Oreochromis niloticus: one gene and its partner. The protein of the gene in region 1 purifies or fractionates together with the protein of each later gene. This does not show direct contact. Links are inferred from orthologs where the notes say so. Each region holds a gene or a part of one and is shown on either strand. Other genes may lie near its edges.

Region 1 (10,350 bases):
ATTGTAAGACAATTGTACTTCTCTATTTTCAGTCTGCACGCAATCGTTCAAGCTAACCATTTTTGACATTTCACTGGCCAATCAACAACATGAACAAACAGTAATTCATCTAAAACAATACCTCACCGTGTAAATACACGACAATCTATTCATTGAACAAGTCATTTTGTTTTCTCATACAAATTAACACAGAATGACCCAAAGCTGCTGATTAAAGACAGTAAATAAATACCCATAGGCTGAGTCAAAGTAATGATGAGTCAACAGCCCTGATGTGTTTGCATTGTTGTGGATACCAAGAAAAGCATGACAAAAATCAAAAAAAGATCTGAAAGGGAGACAAATTCTCGTGTTTATTTCATGACTCTGAGACTGTATGAGTTATACTTGGGTGCACCAACGTGTATCTGCTAAGAGAAGGAGCCTCTTTCACTCTGGTGCCGTGGGAAAAATTTTCACAGTGGTTTTGAAGTCTCCCAGAACAACGACAAAGCCAGTCATTTATGAAATTTAAACCATTTTGCACATACAACAACAACAAAAAAAAAGCCATTTCCGTGACTCCACGTGTACGTTCTAAAAGCACATAGCAGTCAACAGTGCTCTTTGCACCAACATGGAATGTAAAAACTGAGAGGGCTGTGTTTCCAAACCGTCAAGAAAATCACAATGCCATTTAGTTATCAGTGAAACTGGAAACTGCTTTTAATGCAATCATCAATATCAAATCAAATCCAGAATTCAGTAGATGTAAAACGGAATACTTTCTTGCAACATATTACATAATAAATATATTGCATAGCTTGGCATTATTGGCAATCCTGGATGTGTAAACATATGGACTGCAAAGATATACATTAGAAATCTGTAATAGATAAGGCTTTAAAATTGTCATTAAAAAGGGCAGAAAACATTCTGTTTACATACTTCAGAATATGGGATCCTAGCCTGACCTATATATCCATGTATAAGCGGATACTGGCTTATTTAAGATACCATATAAGAATTCATGTTTTGGCATCAGAATTTTTCGTTTTACTGACTATAATGAAGAGAAGGATGTTTGGGGGTAATAGCAACATCGCATAGTTTTTCCAGCAGAACAGCTAAGCCTCAGAGATTATTGCAGCAAATGCAGTAGAGTAGCACCAGAATGGAGCCAAGCAGTGACTTTACAATAGGTTAGGTACTGAAGGGTTAATAATCAGCAATCCTATCACGTTCATTTTTCAGTAAAGCTGTAATACACTATATGTACCTCAACAGCTGCAAATATATTGAGAGAGAAATTTTAAACTTCCCAAATATTGGTATTAACACAATCAGTCTGGTTCTGTATAAAGTATTTTCAAGCACCATCCATCCATCCATTCGCTTCCGCTTATCCTTTTCAAGGTCGCGGGGGTGCTGGAGCCTATCCCAGCTGTCATAGGGCGAGAGGCGGGGTACACCCTGGACAGGTCGCCAGTCTGTCGCAGGGTCAACACACAGGACAGACAACCATTCACACTCACATTCACACCTAATGGCAATTTGGATTATCCAATTAACCTATCCCCACAAGCTGCATGTCTTTGGACGGTGGGAGGAAGCCGGAGTACCCGGAGGGAACCCACGCAAACACGGGAAGAACATGCAAACTCCACACAGAAAGACCCCGGCCTGACGGTGGAATTGAACTCTGGATCTTCTTGCTGTGCGGCAACAGTGCTAACCACCGTGCCACCGTGCTTTCAAGCACGAACAAAATATTTGATCATCTCTTAAAAGCAGATCAGTATTTTTCTGGCTAACTTTTTTCTGATTTAGGGCGCTTTATACCGTCAGTAAACCCAAAGTCAAATAGTCTGCACTGTATGCATGTAGTGATTTCACCTATAGCAACAAGCTGGTCGTACTTGTTGACCCGATGCAATCAGAAAACAAATTCATGATGCTACTATTTCAGAATGTAATTTGGGAACATATTGTACCAACTCTGTCTATGCAACCTGGAAGTACAAGTGATGTAACGCAACACAAAAATATGAAATCAGTGCTTTGCTAGTCCCTGTCCACATTGTGTGCTGGGAACACACAATTCACAACAACATGAATTTGATTTCAATTTCCTGCTTCAATCTGCTTTTAGAAAAATTGGAGCTAAAAGCTAAAATACCAAACATGAAGAACACTGCATGCATTTAGGACAGACACAAAGTCAGCTGACAGCAAAAGTAAATTGTTTCTCTTTAAGATACAAAATAGTGATTTTTAAAAAACCCCCAATAAAAATAACTACTACACAGTTCAACATGCTCCTGGCACTGTCTCAGTAAAATGCACTGCACTGCTTTGGTATGTACATTTGTGCATATAAGTGGTAGGTTACAGAGCATTTCCTGAGACAGAGAAAACCCAAATGCACAAGCGACGTCCATTAGCAGCATATTTCACAACAGCACCCTGGCTGTCACTTGACCTGAAGATGCAACTTCTGTCAAAGGGGATGCCAGGTTTTATGTCAGAGGAGGGTGATTTGCTCAAGTATTTAGCAAAACTGTGAAAAGCACACGCAACAATGGTCTTATATGCTTTTATATATATCTAACACATAAGTGAGAGTGCTTCAGATCTCACTGTAAAAGCTGCGCAATGACAAGCATGAATTCAGGGGCCTCAGAGGACAGCCCTGAAGGGAAAAAAAAATCCCAAAGGCTCAAAGCTGCACCATAATACTGCTGATTTCTAATGAAGGCGATAAGATCACGAAGAAAAGAGGTAGTTCTACCACGTTAACTGGTGCCTATCTATAGTAGAAAATACATGGGGGTGGGTGCAATCAGAAATGGCAACAGCAAACCAATTCAAGATGTACGACTGATTTAGTACTGCTGAGCTCTAACGATACCCACAGTGCTTTCTGACCACTAACAACTGATTAGGCAAGCAAAAACACAGCTACATAGATTTATTTAGGCTGGCAGTATCGAGCCTGAAGCTGGGGGCTAAGCATACTTTCTACAACGCTTAACAATTACAATAAGCCCAGCTGCTGTCTGCCTGCTTGCCCGTCTGTCTGTCTCTCTGTGTGTGTATGTCCCACAAACGGTGCCGAAGTGACTGAGGCTGGATAATGTCGCTTTATTAGGGAAGCACTCACACCAAAATATCAGCTACCAATATTACGATAACGAATCGAGAGAAACCAGAGTGGACAGCTAGCCGTTGCCTGATAAATATCCCAGACAGAAGACAACAAAGACAACACGTACCTGTGTCCAAGTCCTTTTTTCAAAATGTGTCACCGTCCTTTTTGCAACATGCGGGGTTGTATCCTGCAGGAAATAGTGACAAGTAGTGAAAACAGGTAGTTTTCTACGTGTTACCCGAACAGCAACTAGGCAGGCCTAGTACGCAGAAATCGCGACCCGGAGGATTGTAGCGGCCGGGATTGTGAAACTGGCAACACAGTCCCAAGCCGTGCCGAGAAGCAAAATCGAAGGCAGTGGGCCCCGGATGGCTACGAGCTAAGCTAACGCTAGCTCCACTTCACTCAGTAAATACTCGATTATAATCAGCCATTTTGGCTCGAAATGGAAACCCAGTCGACTCGAAAGAGACAATACGACCTCCGTGTTATTTCTCTATGTGACAAGATAAAAAAATCTCACTATTTGCCCTCGACGAAGTTCCCATTCCTGCCTTCCGAGGCATCCACTGTTGTTTACCCAGCAGGTCGTCTCTTGGCTGGCCGCTTCTACAATGCAGTCATTGCCCGTAATGCCGCATGGGGGCGCTGAACCCCCGCCATCTACTTTTACGACACTTTACGACAAGTTCTTTACTCTTGAAAAGTGTGGCTTAAAAAAAATAATAATAACAATATAAAATGGTCGTTACAGGCCAGACGGGAGAGTCTCTCTTTCTGTTGTTTCCTGCCAAAAAGAAAAGAGTAGAACACCGGTGTAGTTATAGGTGTTTAATCCTATTGCCGGAGTTAATGTAAGATTATGTAGCTTTATTCGAGCCTCTATTTCAAGTACTAGCACGCCCACTAGTGTCTACTAGTAGACATAGATTTGATATGAGCATAGATGGTAGATTTTTTTTAATAGTAAGTACTATTCTTTTACAAAAACAAAAACTAAACTAAACTAATATCGTCACATGCATCCAATGATGTAAAAGAAAAAGAACAACAAGAACAAGCTAGATCTTGACATAGTAATATGAAAAAGGAGTCACTTTGATTCTACGGTATTTTTTATTATCAGGACTTAATAAAATTAATCTGCCCCTTTGCAGGTCTAAAAATAGATAAATACAACCTCAGATCACTTAAAAAGCACGACATTACATTGTGCCCATTTATATAAGAAAAATTCAGCCAACATGCAGAAGCAGTGTGTGTGAAAAATACTAAGTCCATACTCACTGCTTTCATAGGAATTAAGAGAATATGAAGCAGCCAGTTTCTGCTAATCAAATGCACCTGAATAACTGATTATCAGCAAGTGTGAGCGCCTCAATAAAAGTAGAAGTTTTGTTGATCTGTGTCTTATGTTTCAGCAATCATAGCATGAACTTGTTTCAGACTTATAAGTTCATAAGTTGGTAAAATATTTTCAGCACCACACAAATTCATCCACCCATTTTCTTCTGCTTGTCCAAAGTGCCAGAAGATTAAGCACAGTGTACCACATGTTCTTTTCCCAAGCATTGTTCAACCTCCTCCTGTTCCAAGGTGCTCCCTGGTCTGCCGAGAAATATTATCTCTTCACAGATTTCTGGTTCTTTCCCTGAATTTCCTCACAGTTGGATGCACCTGGAAAACCTACAAAAAGATGGCTGACACACTTCAACTTTTCCCTTTTGACACAAAGTGGCTCTGCTCCACATTTCTTTGTCCAAGCTCATGAGCCCTTCTCCAAATCTGAGTATTACGACAAGAGACGTGGAAACCTAATTTCAAAATAAAGACCAACTTCGAGTGAATTTAGCTTCAGCATTAACAGACATGTTAAGTACACAATAACAAATATCATTTAGTCTTGTTCCACACTTTAGATCCAAATGACACACCCTTGTACTTTAGTAGGACCCTGTCAATATCAAGGCCATCTTCTTTTGGATTTCGAAGTAAAAGACCATTTCTGATGTGTGTGTATGGAAATGATGGCGTGAGTGTGTGTACATCAACGAACATCAACTTGATGTTTGCTAAAATGATAACTTATTAATTCATATATAAACAAGTTTTTTCTGTGAAAAAATAAAATCAACACCAGAGAGGGTTAAAACAATTTTATGAAAAAGTTAATTCCACACCAGCTACAAGAATAAAATATTAATAGTAAGACAGCAGGAATAAATAACAAACAGGAGAAATATATACAAAACGAGAAAACGGCACACATGAGAGAAGAGGTCACATGACAGCACAGCATTTTCTAACCACACTTTGAACTGAATAACAAAAAACATGTATTTATTCAACTTATAGACAATGAAAACAAACAGAAATCAGAGTGTAAAATTTAAAAACTTTTATTGATGTTAACTTTTTTTTAAAAAGTTATTAAAAAGAAAACCCCAACAGACAAACCCCTCTGAGCAAGCACTAGGCGACAGTGGGGAGGAAAAACTCCCTTTTAAGAGGGAGAAACCTCCGGCAGAACCAGGCTCAGTGAGGGGTGGCCATCTGCCGCGGCCGTTCCGAGGATTTTCTTAAGTATATAATTTAAAACTAGACAATTTAAAAATTCTCCAGAAACATTTTCAGTTGACATCACGATTTTTTCTATATTACATCAGCCTTGTTTTGTCTCCTGGTGAAACAAAACGGTCGGCCTATAGATGAGATGAGTTTCTTCGATAGTTTGGCTGCCTCCTTCATGTAAATTTCAGCAATCATATTGTCGATTGCTGGCTGATTTAATTCCAAGGCTAGCAGAACTAATCCTGCATTTTTAAACTCTTTGCACAGGACTTTGAAAATCCCCTTGTGGAAGTTTTTGAACTTGTCTAAGGGGATTCTATCAATTTCATCCTTGATTTTAGCCCAGATATTGTTGGTATGCCTGTTGTAGATGGCTGAAACCCTTTCCAGACTGATGACTTTGCCTGATTTTTTTACAGCACACTTAACAATTTCTTCCATACAGTTTTCTACCAAAGATCTGTATTTTTCTTCGTTTTGATACAATTCATCCTTTACTGCCAAAAGGTGGTTTTTGAATTGATTTTGCATGCTGGCTTCTTGTTGAGCAGAGGATTTCTTTGGGGTTACGTCATTTTCCAGAGAGGTTTCTGCTTTATCTATAGCCTGCATGGTGTCACGACGGCCTTTCTTGTCTATTGGAGTTCTGGGCTCATCAGTTTTTGGTTTTTTGTGTTTCCGATTGAAATTGAAATTGAAATTACAGTAGTTGAAGAATGAAAGATGTATATAACTGCTATTACTGATATTAGTGATATTAGTGAAACCACTGACATTTTGTACTCTGATGTTCACATCTGTCACATTGATGTGATTAATGTTGCCTGTCGACTGTAAGTGGTGACACTGTCTTAAATGTTAAAATCTCAAAGGACAGCATTACATTTTTGATATTAACAGTAACTCTGGACCTCTGTGGAGTGTGCAGCTGATCTCATCGCTGTCTAAAAATGGATAACAAAACCTAAGGAGTGCTGAATCCTTCAATAATACAGACTATTAGAGTAACAGGTGTGTAGTATCGCTAACTAGCTAGCAACAAGCCCCCAAAACATTGCGTATTCTAGCGGCTAATCTAGCAAACGAATTAACAACAGAGTGGTTTTAGATGTTGTAGAACTATAAGACATTAAGCTGTGTGTCTTTTTCATAACAGTGACGTGGTTGTATTTACCTTGATTGAACGAGTGTCAGTTGCGGTAAACCCATCAGCAAATAAACTGGAGCAGCTGGGCTACATAAAATGTGTAGGGGGGCGTGTTTGCGGTCACGTCCAGTGGGTGTGCAGGCGGGAGCATGACATAGTCGCTCCACCTCAAGTTACTACTGCGCAGACTCTGGCTCCAAAAATGCAAGATGGCATCCTCCACAAGCGGGATATTTTGGCTTCATTTTTGCACAATGGGAGGAGGTGCTGATGCGTTGTCCATGTTTTCTACAGTCATTGACACACACACACACACACACATACACAAAGACATGCGCCTGTCAGCTGCTGGTTTAAATAAACAAAAAAGTGACCCCGAAACAAATGCTTCTCAAGAGAAAACTACAAGTAGTATTCACAAAATTCTTTCACTGTGAGCGCCAGCAATGTCCAGTCTACAAAATTCTCAGTTTTCATGCCTGTGGAGCTTATTATATGGACGTGGTGACAGTGTAAAGACGGCCTGTACTTCTGATTTTCAGACGAATTTTGGGAGCCGTTTTAACATTGGACTCTATGGAAGAGTTGCAGAGAGGAGGCTGTGCATTGGTGACATTTATGAAAGAACCATTACATCTATTACAATACTAATAACATTGGATGAAAGAGGGCAATGATGCCTATGTTTTGGGGGTAAAATGATGGCTGTAGACTGAATGCTGTGGACACAGCAGCAGTTTAAAGAGAAGATTTTAAGAAAAATTTTTACCCTGCTCCCACTCTAGCAGTTGAACTGTCTCACTGTCAACATTCCATCCCATATGCACCCATTATAAACTCTGAAACGGGTGAAAAAAGCATGAAACTTAAACTAGAACTGAAGAAAAAGTATAAAAGTTATTAAAAAAGATAAACACAAGCTGAATAGTTCAATGTCTTGGCTTCATTTTAAAGTTTGAATGGTGTCTGTCGGTCAACATATGGGTAAGTAGTTGGAGTTGATAGAGGAGTAAGTTGAATGAGAATTTGAAGATTCTCCCATGGAAATACATTATAATTTTTGTTGAATAAAGTTGAATAATTTAAAAAATATAAAAAATATATAAAAAATATAAATATAAATATAAAAAAAATAAAAGTTAAAAATCCATCCATCCATTCGCTTATCCTTTTCAGGGTCACGGGGAGGCGCTGGAGCCTATCCCAGCTGTCATAGGGCGAGAGGCGGGGTACAGCCTGGACAGGTCGCCAGTCTGTCGCAGGGCTAACACACAACTATTCGCACTCATATTCACACCTATGGGCAATTAAGATTAATCAATTAACCTATCCCCACAAACTGCATGTCTTTGGACGGTGGGAGGAAGTCGGAGTACCCGGAGGGAACCCACGCAAACACGGGGAGAACATGCAAACTCCACACAGAAAGACCCCGGCCCGATGGTGGAATTGAACTCAGGACCTTCTTGCTGTGCTGCAACAGTGCTAACCCCGTGCCACTGTGCTGCCCTAGAAGTTAAAAATGAGAAAAAAATACAAGCACACGTGTCCAAAAGAAGAGGTGGTTGAATGGTTTTTCTAAGTTGAATAGTGTTGAAGGAGATAGCGTACAAAAAACTTACGGAAGATGAAAAGTAGAAGAACAATACTGTGGATGCTTAATCAGCATCCACACTAAATACCAACAAATTAAATGTATAGTAAAACAAAGATTTAAGACTAATCAAATTAAATTACAGACAACACCAAGTGTGGTACAATTCCTTAATCTCAAAACCCGTCCAGGAAGCAGTAGTCGGAGTATTTACACATATTACTTTCGATGACAGCATTCTCACTAATCTCCACATTACTGTTAGTTGCCACAGACGGCTGTGAAATCTGTTCCATCTTACAACTCATAGTGTTTCAAAAATGTTTTACCCCTTGGCTTAACATGAACTTATAGACACTCTTTAACATCAAACGTAATAAGCTCTGTCACTGCAGTCAAATCACCAAGATCAAGAACTTGTTTAAAATTTCAGAGCCAACAGAAGTTCCATCGTGTTTATTATTTTACTTCTCTGTGTCCAGTACTGAAGAAGATGGACCTGCAGGAGAAAGTCCTTACAAGCATTTTCAGTGCTTTACAACTTTAACACACCACCTGTCATAAAAACAAGACAAAAATATTTTAGCAATCTGTCAAAAATGCATTTAAATAACAATTACATTGCTATTAGGCAAATAAACTGAATTCACATATGGTCAGCAGACTGGGCTTCTCAGAAGTCATCAATTGATTTGTCATCTTCAGTAAAAAATGTATGTGCTTTGGTATTTTTTTTCTGAATGCTTGTGTAAAAAATGTCCAATTATTCACAGTGGACACATGATGAAAAAGAAATATTTGCACATCTGGATCACAAGACACTCATTAAACCGCCCACCCATATAGAACCCAGCGGCACTGGTTCAACTTGACACAAAGAAAGAGATGCTTTCATTTTTCTTATTTTAATTACAATAAACTGCAGTAAAAGAACAACTTCAGCAAGTGTGTTTATGAAAGAGGGAGAACGTACAGGTGACTGGGAAAATATTCTTTTAGGTTTAATAATGTCAAGGACCTGAGTCTGAGGGACCCAGGGTTCATGAGCAGTCTACTTATGTTTGATGGGGTGTGTGTGTATGGTGCTGCTGTCCCTTGTTTCCCGGTCTACTGATGTGTGTGTGTGTGTGTGTGTGTGTGTGTGTCCTGGTTTTCCTGGCACACCAGGAGCTACATAGCAGTGTGGCTGAGAGTTCCTCGACGCTGGATTGTTGCGTGAGACTTCCCGCAGTTCTCCAGCTAGTCGGTTTGTGAGTGGGAACTTGCCACAGTGAAGTTGATTGTACTAACGGTTGCCTGTTATTTCCCGGCAGGAGTACGGAAACGAGAGCGCAGCAGGCACGGAGTACACGGGCACTAGGGAGTGGACACACGGAGCACGGACTTTGGGAAGAAGACACGGCACGGGAGTCAGGGGCGTGCACGGGGATTTATTGTGTAATATTTACATCACTGTAAATAAACGCACTGCATTCATCACACAGAGTCCTGCGTTTTGGGTCCTATTTTCCTCACATTCCCACGGTCTGCCAGTGCAGCCGTGACAGACAACTTCAAAGTCCTGCAGATGTAAAACTTTAAAAAGAAACTAGAAAGCGAAAATTTCGGAAGAAATTTTAAGTGTGCCTATGCCGCTGCTAATCAGTGTAGTTTGCCATTCATACGGCTACAGAGAGCAAAACTCAGCAGAGCAGCCATTCTCCACCATGAACTATGGTAAAAACAAACACCGCTCATGCCTCACAGATGACAGCTTACAGTTTTGGGTAAAGATGAGGTGACTTCGTACAGCCCCGACTTGCAGACGCTGTGCACAGAGGTTCATGAGCAGAAGTCCCATTGTACCACGGCAGACCCGACAATGTTTGCATGAACACGCTTTGAAGCATTACGTTATGGACCACTTTT
Region 2 (9,898 bases), on another chromosome or scaffold:
GTCGCAGCCTTTTGAGAAACTTTCAGCCGTAGACCCTGCTCCCACAGAGAGGCCTGTCCTGAGAGCAGCTGCAGTGGAAACAGACTTTTCATCTTATGGCTGTTCCTCAGAGTTTTTGTCATGGAGCACAATGATTCATCGCTGATGGGTTTTTCCATATAGGAAAGCAAAACACATGCTTTTTGTTGTTAATTGCCAGCATAGAAGAAGAAACGTGAAAGAGGTCTGCAGACACAGCAGCGTATACACAAAGCAGCAAACCTGGATGAAACACTCTTTCTAAATATTCTTAGAAAGTGAAGAATACTTTTGTCTTTGAATGCACTCCATACCTTCAAGCAAAGACTGAAGCACCATTCACACAGTGAGGGGGTTCATTTCCAACACTGTTAGAGTTCTGATCCTCGGCTCGAACCACAGACACAACTCTATCATGTTAGTCGTGTTTTTAATGGGACGGCCCAAAATATAGTTTTTAATACAGCAGCAGAACTCATTACAGAACCCTGGCTGAATTGGTGTCCTCTCCAAGCACAGGGCACAAAATGGACTTTTTATGAAAATAATATAGGAAAGTATACAAACTGACTGAAACACCCACACAGTCGGGCTCCACTGCAGACTGCTGCACAGAATCAGCATGGTAATATTCCCTGAACAGCCATTGAAACGCGCAGCTCCCAGCTGTTGTTCTGTCCACTGTGTGGACATGGCTGACTGTCAGCAGGCTTAGCCAGCACTGCGCCTTGCATATGAAACAGGACATGGGCCTATATCCCCTGTGGGAGTTCACTTCCTCTGAGCCCCCACCACCACAGCCCCACGTCTCTCCTGAAACAAGCAGCTCCTTCAGCTGGAGGCCAGATATCCCAAGCAGCGGGGGTAGCAGGGTGGGGGCAGCAGAAAGGGAAGTGCTGGCTTCTGCACATTACAGATTTAAGAAGTGCCCTGACTTGGAAGGATATATTCAGACTCGACAGTTGTGCGTTCCAACCCTACGCAGGTTTGGTTTGAGCCTTTCCTCAGCCACACGTGGAAACAGCCTGCAGGAATATGCTGGTTGTCAGCACAACAACGCAGCATATGTGGAGCATCGACGCAAAATGGCCTCTGCTATTGTTCTGGCTGGTTTTTAGTGCACATCTGTCTCTGAACAAATCCCATCCCAGCACTTTAGGAGGAACCTGAAAGCTCCGCAGACACGCACGCTTCGCTCACGACCAGTTACAACAGTCGTGTAAACATGCTCACCACTCTGAGGAGGCGCACATCTGCAATATGAGACAGACCGATGAAGCAACAACAATAATAATAATAATGATACAGTAACCAAGAAGCCCGAGGAGGACCCTCTCCACGTAGGAAGGTGCCAAAACCCAAACAAACCAAAAAAGTCTGAGGTAAACTTTTTTCTAAGCCAAGCACGAGTCGAGCTTCAACTGCTCACCACCGTCCACCACAGCTACCCTCGCTCTTTAGTTCTCATATCTCTCTCAGCCAGGCAGATTGTGCAGAGCTGACGTCATCGTGAGGCCAAATTATAAAGTTAGTGTCACACTAAATCTGCAGCCACAAGCCTTATCTCCACATCCTCATGTGGAAACCCACTCATTATGTGTGCCAGCCAGAAAGGAGAAGCCTGGCATGGCAATCTGGGGCCGGCCTGCGCAGAAAATCCTTCCCCAAACTACGTGGAACGCTTTAATGCATTTGTGCTTTGCAGCCTGCACTGTGGCCTTGCATCCTATGAGATAAAAAAAGGAAAAATGAACTTCAAGTTCACACTTCTCCACAACTGGAGGCACGCTGCTAAATGTGAACAGCTTTTTTTACTCTGTGATTCACTCGTCTCTGGAGGAAGCTTTCAAAAGAGCGTCTGCAAGGAGGGAAGTGTGGCAATATCGCTTCCTGTGTCTGTCTGCTATGCGAGACTGCTGCTGACACTTTTCTATCAGTCTTACTAATATTCACTGAGCTGCCCTCCTTTGACAGCAGTGACGTGTTTCAAAGTAAGGCGCTGTGGCGACATCCTCCTCAAACATTTCCTCAGCTGTGCCCAAATGTGTTGAGAAAAAGGAGAGCAACAATATTTCTCAACCTGTGCGCAGTCCCTCAGATGCTCGGGGGCGGGGCTTGAATTAAAAAGCATTTCAAACAAGCCTTGAGCTTAACATTCGGGCGCCCCGTCAGCACTTGGAAAAACACAAGAGGCCCCTGAAAGTGGAGGTCCTTGAGGTGTGTCCACTCAAGTCTGAATGAAAGTGTGTGCCAAGAGTGTGTGTTCACCGTGCATGGTAGGACTCTGGCACTCTTCAGGACTTCAAGGGCCTCCCTGATCTCCCTTTCTTTGGCAGGTTTTTCTGAAAGAAGCCTCAGTGGAGGAGTGGAGGAAAGCTCTTGTAAACACTTGTGCTGTTGCTTTCTGAGCCTCATCAACAACTCCGCTCTGCTCTACAAGTCCACTGAGGAGAGGGAGAGTAGGCAAAAGGAGGAGCCCTGTCAGAGCTGGGTGGCTGCCCTGGTAGAGGGGGTTCTGATGTTTGCTGAATGCTTCCCTTTGTTGGGATCATGTTATGTTTCCACCACAATACTTCTAAACCCCGCTTCATCAGCTCCATTCATGTGTAACAGTTCATGCAAATGGGCTCACTAGCCTTTTTCCCCCCACAGCGGTGGGATTCTTTCTATCAGTCTGCAAACACCAAAGCTAACAGAGTCCTTCCACGCAGCTGTAAAGTAAGTTGGCTCAGAAAAAGCAAACCTGATGATTGAGGCTGGAGGTGTGTGACCACTGAAAGCATGCAGAACCTAAAACCTGATTACTGGGACTGTTCAAACAAGAACACAGGAGAACGTGGATAAGACTAGAGAGAGGGGAAATGACATCAGCACTGATTAAACCACAGACAAGTAAAATGACACATAAGACACCAGACCGGTCTGTCACACTAACAGTCAGGTCTATCTCGCCCACTGGAGATAGAGACAGTCACAGACAGCTTCTAGCCCACTGAACCACAGTGTTCTGAAGAAGGGACAACATTATCTCACAACTGTTGTTTACTATTTCCCATTGAGCCGTTTGTTGGGAAATGAGATTCTATTTACTGTACAGGCCAATAAAAAGCGACCCTTTAGGTGTTTGACGGTCAGATAATGGCTTTATTGCCACCAGAGGCATATTGTTGTCGCTGCTGGATGACGCCCAATTAGTAAGACCACAGCAGCAGCAGTGACCAGACACTGTCAGGCTCAGCATCCACTCTTGAAACGTGTTTGCTCGGGACATGTTTCAAGTTTGGTGGCCCACGCTCGTTTTAACGTTAAGGAGAAGGGTGGAAAATAACAAGCTGCAACAGTTAGAGCTCGGAGACCAGCTCACCTTGGATGATGCTTTCCTCTTGTACTTGTTGGCGAAGTCGAATTTCTCCTTAATCTCGTCCAGGAACAGCTCCAGGCGGGCCTTCTCCTCTTTCTCCGTGTAATCCTGGCCCAGGAGGATGTACGCCCTCCAGTTGGCCGAGTCGAAGCCCCAGTGGCAAGTCCTGTTCTCCTGCGCCTTGTGGCCGTGCACCACGAACTTGTGGGTCGGGTACATTAGTCTGCAGTCCATGCACTGGATGCACGCTGCGTTTGGGCTGGTGTACAGCTCCGGCACGAACAAGCCTTTGCACTTGCCGAAGCACTCGTGATAGACTTTGAAGCTCCTGTCGGTGAACTGCAGCTCCAGCGAGCCTCCGTTCATCTCCTTCTTGCAGCGCGGCGGGTAAGCGCCTCCGTAGATCAGGGCGTTGCAGAGCCGCTCTGCGTCCGTCTTGGTGATGAGACCGCAGGACGGCGCCGAGAAGGGCAGGATCCCCATGACTTTAAGGATTTCCAGCTGGTCGGCCGTGCAGCGGGAGCAGTAGATGTGCAGCTCGTCGCACACGGAGTTGATCTGCTGCAGGGTAAAGTCCCGCAGCACCGTGTTGAGAATCTGCGGCAGACACAGCCGTTTCTCCCCGCCGACCACAAAGCAGGAGATGGTCTCCCCCTCCAGGACCGTCTCGCACCTCTCCGTGGAGCGGTCCGACGGGATGAAGAGCGGGCCGGGCATCACGGGCGGCGGCAGATGCTGCAGAACCGGCTCGGGCTCCTTCCCGTCCTTCTTAAAGAGCAGCTCATGTTGCCAGCGAGCAGAGAAAGCGGCCGGTCCACCCAACGAGCTCATAGAGCTGAGGTGAAACTGCTTGAGAGTTTGTTGCAGTCCCGGATGAGGCTGGAAGCTCGGCCGACTTACAGTCTCCATGCTTTTCCTGCAACTTTAGATGCGTAAATCCTTCCTACGGTCGACCGGGAATCACAACCAGCTAGGCGTCCTTCAACCTGGTAAATCCACCGTGTCCCAAAGCTGATCAGATGTGCGAAACGCCTCATCAACCATCCAGGAAAAAAGTCCCAGCTGCGGTTTTATTCCCGTGTGTGAGTCAACACCGACCAGTCGCTCCCTGTAACAGTGCGCCGACTGTCCATATTTGAAAAAACGGCTTCCAAACTCCACCGAGGCGAAAAGTTCCGTTTGTCAGGCGTGAAAACGAAATGTAAAAATCCTTATTTGAGGTTCTTTCCGCTGTCGAGGACGAAACATCCACCCCGTCTGCCCCCGCAGTTCACTCTGACTGCGCGGAGAGAAGTCTGAAGAGCCAGCCCGCTCGCGAGAGCTCTCTCTCCCCCTGTCTGAGTGCGCGTGTCTCTCTCTCTCTCTCCCTCGCGCTCGGTCTAGGTCTCTCTGTCGCGCGCTCACTCACACGCCCCCTCCCTTTGCGTTTGTGTCTGGCTCAGTCATTGAATCCCGGCCAGGAATGTGAGTGACTCTGCAGGCAGGCCGGGCTCTTCCAGGAACAAGCCGCCACCCCCCGCACGTACACGCGCGCACGTGCACACAGAAAAGAGAACAGCGAAGAAAAAGAAACGAACTGAGCAAAGCAAAGACAACGACGCATTCAGGCCGTGGAAGAAAAGGAGAATTTAGACTTTTTGCTACTTTTTCCAAGGCGTAGATGGGAAATGTGGGTTTTTTTACCACGTGGCACCCCAAGCTGTGTCTATACGATGCTTTAGCCTTTCATTCTAATATATAATTGACTGCATGGTTGGCTCTTAAAGGAGAGACTCTTCTTTTGATGAAGAAGCTTTATTTGTCACTTGCAGTTACCTGCAGCGAAACAGGACCTCTTCCGACCATACACACATTACACAAACGTCACATCGGGGAGACAGGTCAGAACAGGTAGCATAAAGAAAAACAATGAAACGTACAACACAATAGGCAGCGGAGGAGAGAAAAAGTACAATATTATTACATTTACTTTGTTATTTTGTACTCTGTTCCTTTATTATTACTATACACCTTTATTTGAATGATTTTATACTGCTAATAAAATGTTTGCATTTTAAAAATTATTATCATTAAGTTATTTAAAAACCAATGAACGATACCCTATTACTGCTGCTATATTATAATGTGGGTAAACATCTGGAGCACACAGTTTACACATTGGTGACCCATTTCTCCGCAACTTTTGTCTGCATTTCAACTCAACATGCAGTTTGTTTACAGCAGCGGTGCAGTAATCCATCGACGAAACCCCGACGGGAACGGAATTTTCACGCAAACTAGGAGTGCTCGTATTTACCACATTTCCCATGTACCCCGAAGCTAGCAGAAGAGCTGGGTGTCTATGTGAATCACTCGGTTCACGGCTGCTGTCAAGACAGAGAGAAAAAGTCGAAAGAGGATGGGTGGTGTTTTGCGAGACAAGACAAATTTAGCTTTGGAAGAGGAAACGCAAATTGCACGACTGACTGCGGTTTATTTATTTTCCCTTCTGCCTGAATGTGTTAAAACTGTTTGGCAAGAGGCGCCGAGTAAACAAGTTTCATGTGTTGGCGACCTTGAGAAACCATCCTGCTAATGAAATGGCTAGAGTCTTGTTTTTTTCCACAGACCAGCTATAATAAGTTGTTAGTGGACATTTGAACATGCACCTGCGCTCTCAGCATCATAATTGTTCGCTACCTTTAAACCTTCTCTCTTATTTGCTTTAAGTACCAGGTCGCCTAATATATCAGATCTGTGAATACCACTCATATAAATAGACAGAGGCTTTGTTTTCTCTGAACTTTGCTATAACAAGTGAAGAGGAGAAAAATAAATGGCTGATTCAAACATACAAGCTCAACCTCAGGGGGTCCGAGTCGAAGTTCAACTCCAGTACGAGTTTGCTGTTCCTGTGGCGTCCCCTAGCCACACAGTGTTGTAACTGCAACGTTATGGCAGGATCGGGGGTCAAGGATCTCCCACTGCTGACCACAAACAAGTCTGACGGGCAACTCTTGAGTTTGCATTTGTGAATGTCGAAACATGATTAAATATTTCTACTGCAGCATTTTATCATTTAGTCACCAAAAACTCTATAGGACTGAATTTATTTATTCATTAATTAGTTACTAATCATACTAATAGAAAAGTATCTTTATCCCACCTGTAACAATAAAAGAACATATTTAAATCACAGTAGTTCTCAGTATTTGTAGAACTGCAGAGTAACTACTCAGTTATATGAACCCCAAAGAGTTTGTGGTTCTGACTATCAGTGCGCTGTCTGCAGCAAGACAGAACATGAGATTTATGACTGAACAGTAGTACAATCTGTGCTCTTTGACTGTATGTGTTACACACAGCCCCAACAGTGACTGATTACTGATTACGTGTAAAGTTTTTAAATAACCTTTATACAGTGTGCAGCCAGTGGTCCCTGAGGTGTTGGAGGCACAGGTCTGGGCTCCAGCCCTGTCGTGGCAGCATGACACCATCCTCTCAGCCAGCATACAGCTGTGGCACCTATACTGGCACACTGTGTTTACTGGCTGTGTGTGGATTTTGTCTTCTCTCTCCCACAGTTTCAAGTGAGATACAAAGCGTGTGTTTCCTTTAGGCTTCTCATTCTATCAAGGCCAAAGCTGTTAGACAGTGCAGAGTGTGTGCCAACCCTCATTTTCAATGATTCATGTTCTTACCAAGCAGTGCTTGTCCTCCTGCCCCCCCCCCCCCCCCGCCCCCAAACATCCAGCGAGCTCATCTGTGATTATCATTTACTCATATGTGGTTAGTGAGGTAAGTTCAAATTTAGACCTTCAGTGTCACAACAGTGGGTCGCTTCTTATCAGGGTACATCACCATGGTAACTTGTGCTATACACTAGCATGCTCTGCAGTAGGTTATTTTTGACAGAGCTGAGACAGTGCTTAGAGCTAATGCTTAAAATCTTTCCTCCCAGGACTACTCCAGAAAACCCCAAAGAACGACAGCAGCTTTTCCTCACACGGGCATGGCTGCAATTCCATGTCCATGTGTTTGGAACGTAGCCATAACCAATTGCAAAGGTTTCCTCCAGAGAAAAGAGAGTCTGGACGACCAGTGGTGAGATGGAGCAGATCTGTGGTACAGTGGATATAATGTTACAGTGAATGTTCGAGTAATATGGAACCAGGTTTCAAATAATGGGGTAAGAAAAAAAACATGTTAGTGTACATTTTAAAACATACAGACACACAATCAGCTATAACAACAGACACTGGTTCCAACATGCACACATGCATGCATGCATTGTTGCAAACTATGGCCAAAAATAAAGGGGAGAAGATTAAAGAAAGCCTAACCCATAAAATCCTCCAGTCATTCCATTAGCAGCCTTGCTGCTGTGTCCTGCATCAGCTGGAGACGAGCTATGGAGACGAGCTATGGAGGACTGAGAGATGCATGTGAAAAATCAATTGCAATAAGAGAGAATTCAGCTGTGAGGATCTTCTCCTGTGGAACCAGCTTCCAGTTTGGATTGTGGAGGCAGACATGTCTCTAATTTAAGGATTAGGCTTAAAGCTGTCCTTTTTGATACAGCATACACCTCATAGACTCTGAACCATCTCTTGGTTATGTTATTAGAGTCTGAGGCTGTTGGGGGAACTTCCCACAATGAATCGAGCAATTCGGTTTCTGTTCCACTCTTTCACTCCTCACGGTTATAGCGCCATCAAAAAGTATCTGCATCCTTTGTCATTTCTTAGTTTTCTGCATATTTGTTGCATAACCAGCAGTTGGGCCACGGAAGTAGATCGCGGAGGGAAAAAGAGCAGAGACCATGCAGTCCAGTTTAATATATGAATATATTTATCTAAATTAATATTAATGGTCCTGGGTCTGTTACCCTGTGTTACTGATTCTCTTTTCTGATCCTTCCAGTTTGTGTATTATTACATAGCTTGTTTCTTAAGTTTCCTTTTCAGGTATTAAAACTTTGGTTTTATCTGTTTTGTAGGTTACATTTGTTGTTTATAGTCACCCTGTCAGTTTGTAATCTGGTTATGTTCATGGTTGTAGTTTGTTGTTATTTTTGTTTTTCCTGCCTTCCCTGTTTTTAATTAAGTCTCCATCTCTCTGTTATTGTTGCTTGTTTATTACCTTCCATATTATTTTGATAGTCACGTGTTCCTGTGCTTTGTATTCAGTTTATTTCCATGTTTCATTTCATTAGTTACAACTGTATCATGTCCAATTCCCCTGATTGCCTCATTCGTGTGTGTTAGGTCTCGGTTTGTCTCCGTCCTTTGTTGGGTCGCGCTGTTTGTTCGCTGTGGTTCTTCCTGTCTGTGTCTTCTGGTTTGAGTTTGTCGGACTTTCCATTTATCTAAATAAAGGTTTGTGTTTTTGTTTTTTTAACTCTGCAAACCAGTCTGTATCTGGGTCCACATCTGCACTCTACATCAAATCAAATCAAATCACTTTTATTGTCATGTCACATGTGCAGGTACACTGGTACAGTACATGCGAGTGAAATTCTTGTGTGCGAGCTTCTCAAGCAACAGAGTTGTGCAAAAATACAATAACGTAAAACAAGCAAAAATATAAGAATGGCTAAATCTGAAAGTAATAAATATATGTACAATAAGAGTATATGCATTATTGGATGTGTATACTAAATATGTTTTTCTACGTGTGTGTGTGTGTGTGTGTGTGTGTGTGTGTGTGTGTGTGTGTGTGTGTGTGTGTGTGTGTGTGTGAGTGAGTGAGTGTGTATATACATATTTTACAAATGAAATAGAGTAAACAATAAAATAAGATATATAAAATGTACAGAGGTTGGTATGTGCAAAACAGTGGCATTAATGTACAGTGTGGAGTGCATAATGTTGAAGTTCCAGTAGTGAAGGTGAGGTGTCTATGACGTGTTCAGCAGTCTGATGGCCTGGTGGAAAAAGCTGTCTCTCAGTCTGCTGGTACAGGACCGGATGCTGCAGAACCTCCTTCCTGATGGAAGTAGTCTGAAGAGTTTATGGCTGGGGTGACTGGAGTCCTTGATGATCCTCCCTGCTTTCCTCAGGCACCGCTTCCTGTAGATGTCCTGGAGGGAGGGAAGCTCACCTCCAATTATCCGTTCAGAGCACCGCACCACTCTCTGGAGAGCTTTGCGGTTGTAAGCGGTGCTGTTGCCATTCCAGGTGGTGATGCATCCAGTGAGGATGCTCTCAATGGCACAGCGATAGAAGGTCCTGAGGATGCGGGGGCTCATGCCAAATCTTTTCAGTCTCCTGAGAAAGAAGAGGCGCTGCTGCGCCTTCTTCACTGTTTTGTTTATGTGTACTGACCATGATACATACATGATACCACATCACTGGAGATGTTGCAACATCCATCAACCTCACAGCCCACTTTTTCCTCAAGGCCACAAGACACTTAAAACACATCCACTTGAGGCAGGCAATCCAGTCTTTCCTAGCGATGAACCCTAGTTTGAAATGTAGTAGTGACTCTGCCCCTATGGAACCTGAGGTTCGCTGCCCAGTGAAGCCAACAGGACCA

Evidence for each region.
Region 2: the proteins of rnf111 (region 1) and skia purify together in Homo sapiens (affinity purification with western blotting, with the first as the bait; 3 studies listed by BioGRID). This does not show direct contact. The link is inferred for Oreochromis niloticus from reciprocal best matches to the Homo sapiens genes RNF111 and SKI.

Annotation. Positions count from the first base shown.
Region 1 is NC_031965.2:21,988,612-21,998,961, forward strand, and holds the start of rnf111 (E3 ubiquitin-protein ligase Arkadia), read right to left. Parts: upstream 3,807-10,350; 5' UTR 3,654-3,806; exon of another isoform or gene 3,318-3,653; 5' UTR 3,255-3,317; intron 1-3,254. UniProt on the Homo sapiens protein: E3 ubiquitin-protein ligase. Required for mesoderm patterning during embryonic development. Acts as an enhancer of the transcriptional responses of the SMAD2/SMAD3 effectors, which are activated downstream of BMP.
Region 2 is NC_031984.2:34,007,916-34,017,813, reverse strand, and holds the start of skia (v-ski avian sarcoma viral oncogene homolog a), read right to left. Parts: upstream 4,819-9,898; 5' UTR 4,289-4,818; coding exon 3,383-4,288; intron 1-3,382. UniProt on the Homo sapiens protein: May play a role in terminal differentiation of skeletal muscle cells but not in the determination of cells to the myogenic lineage. Functions as a repressor of TGF-beta signaling.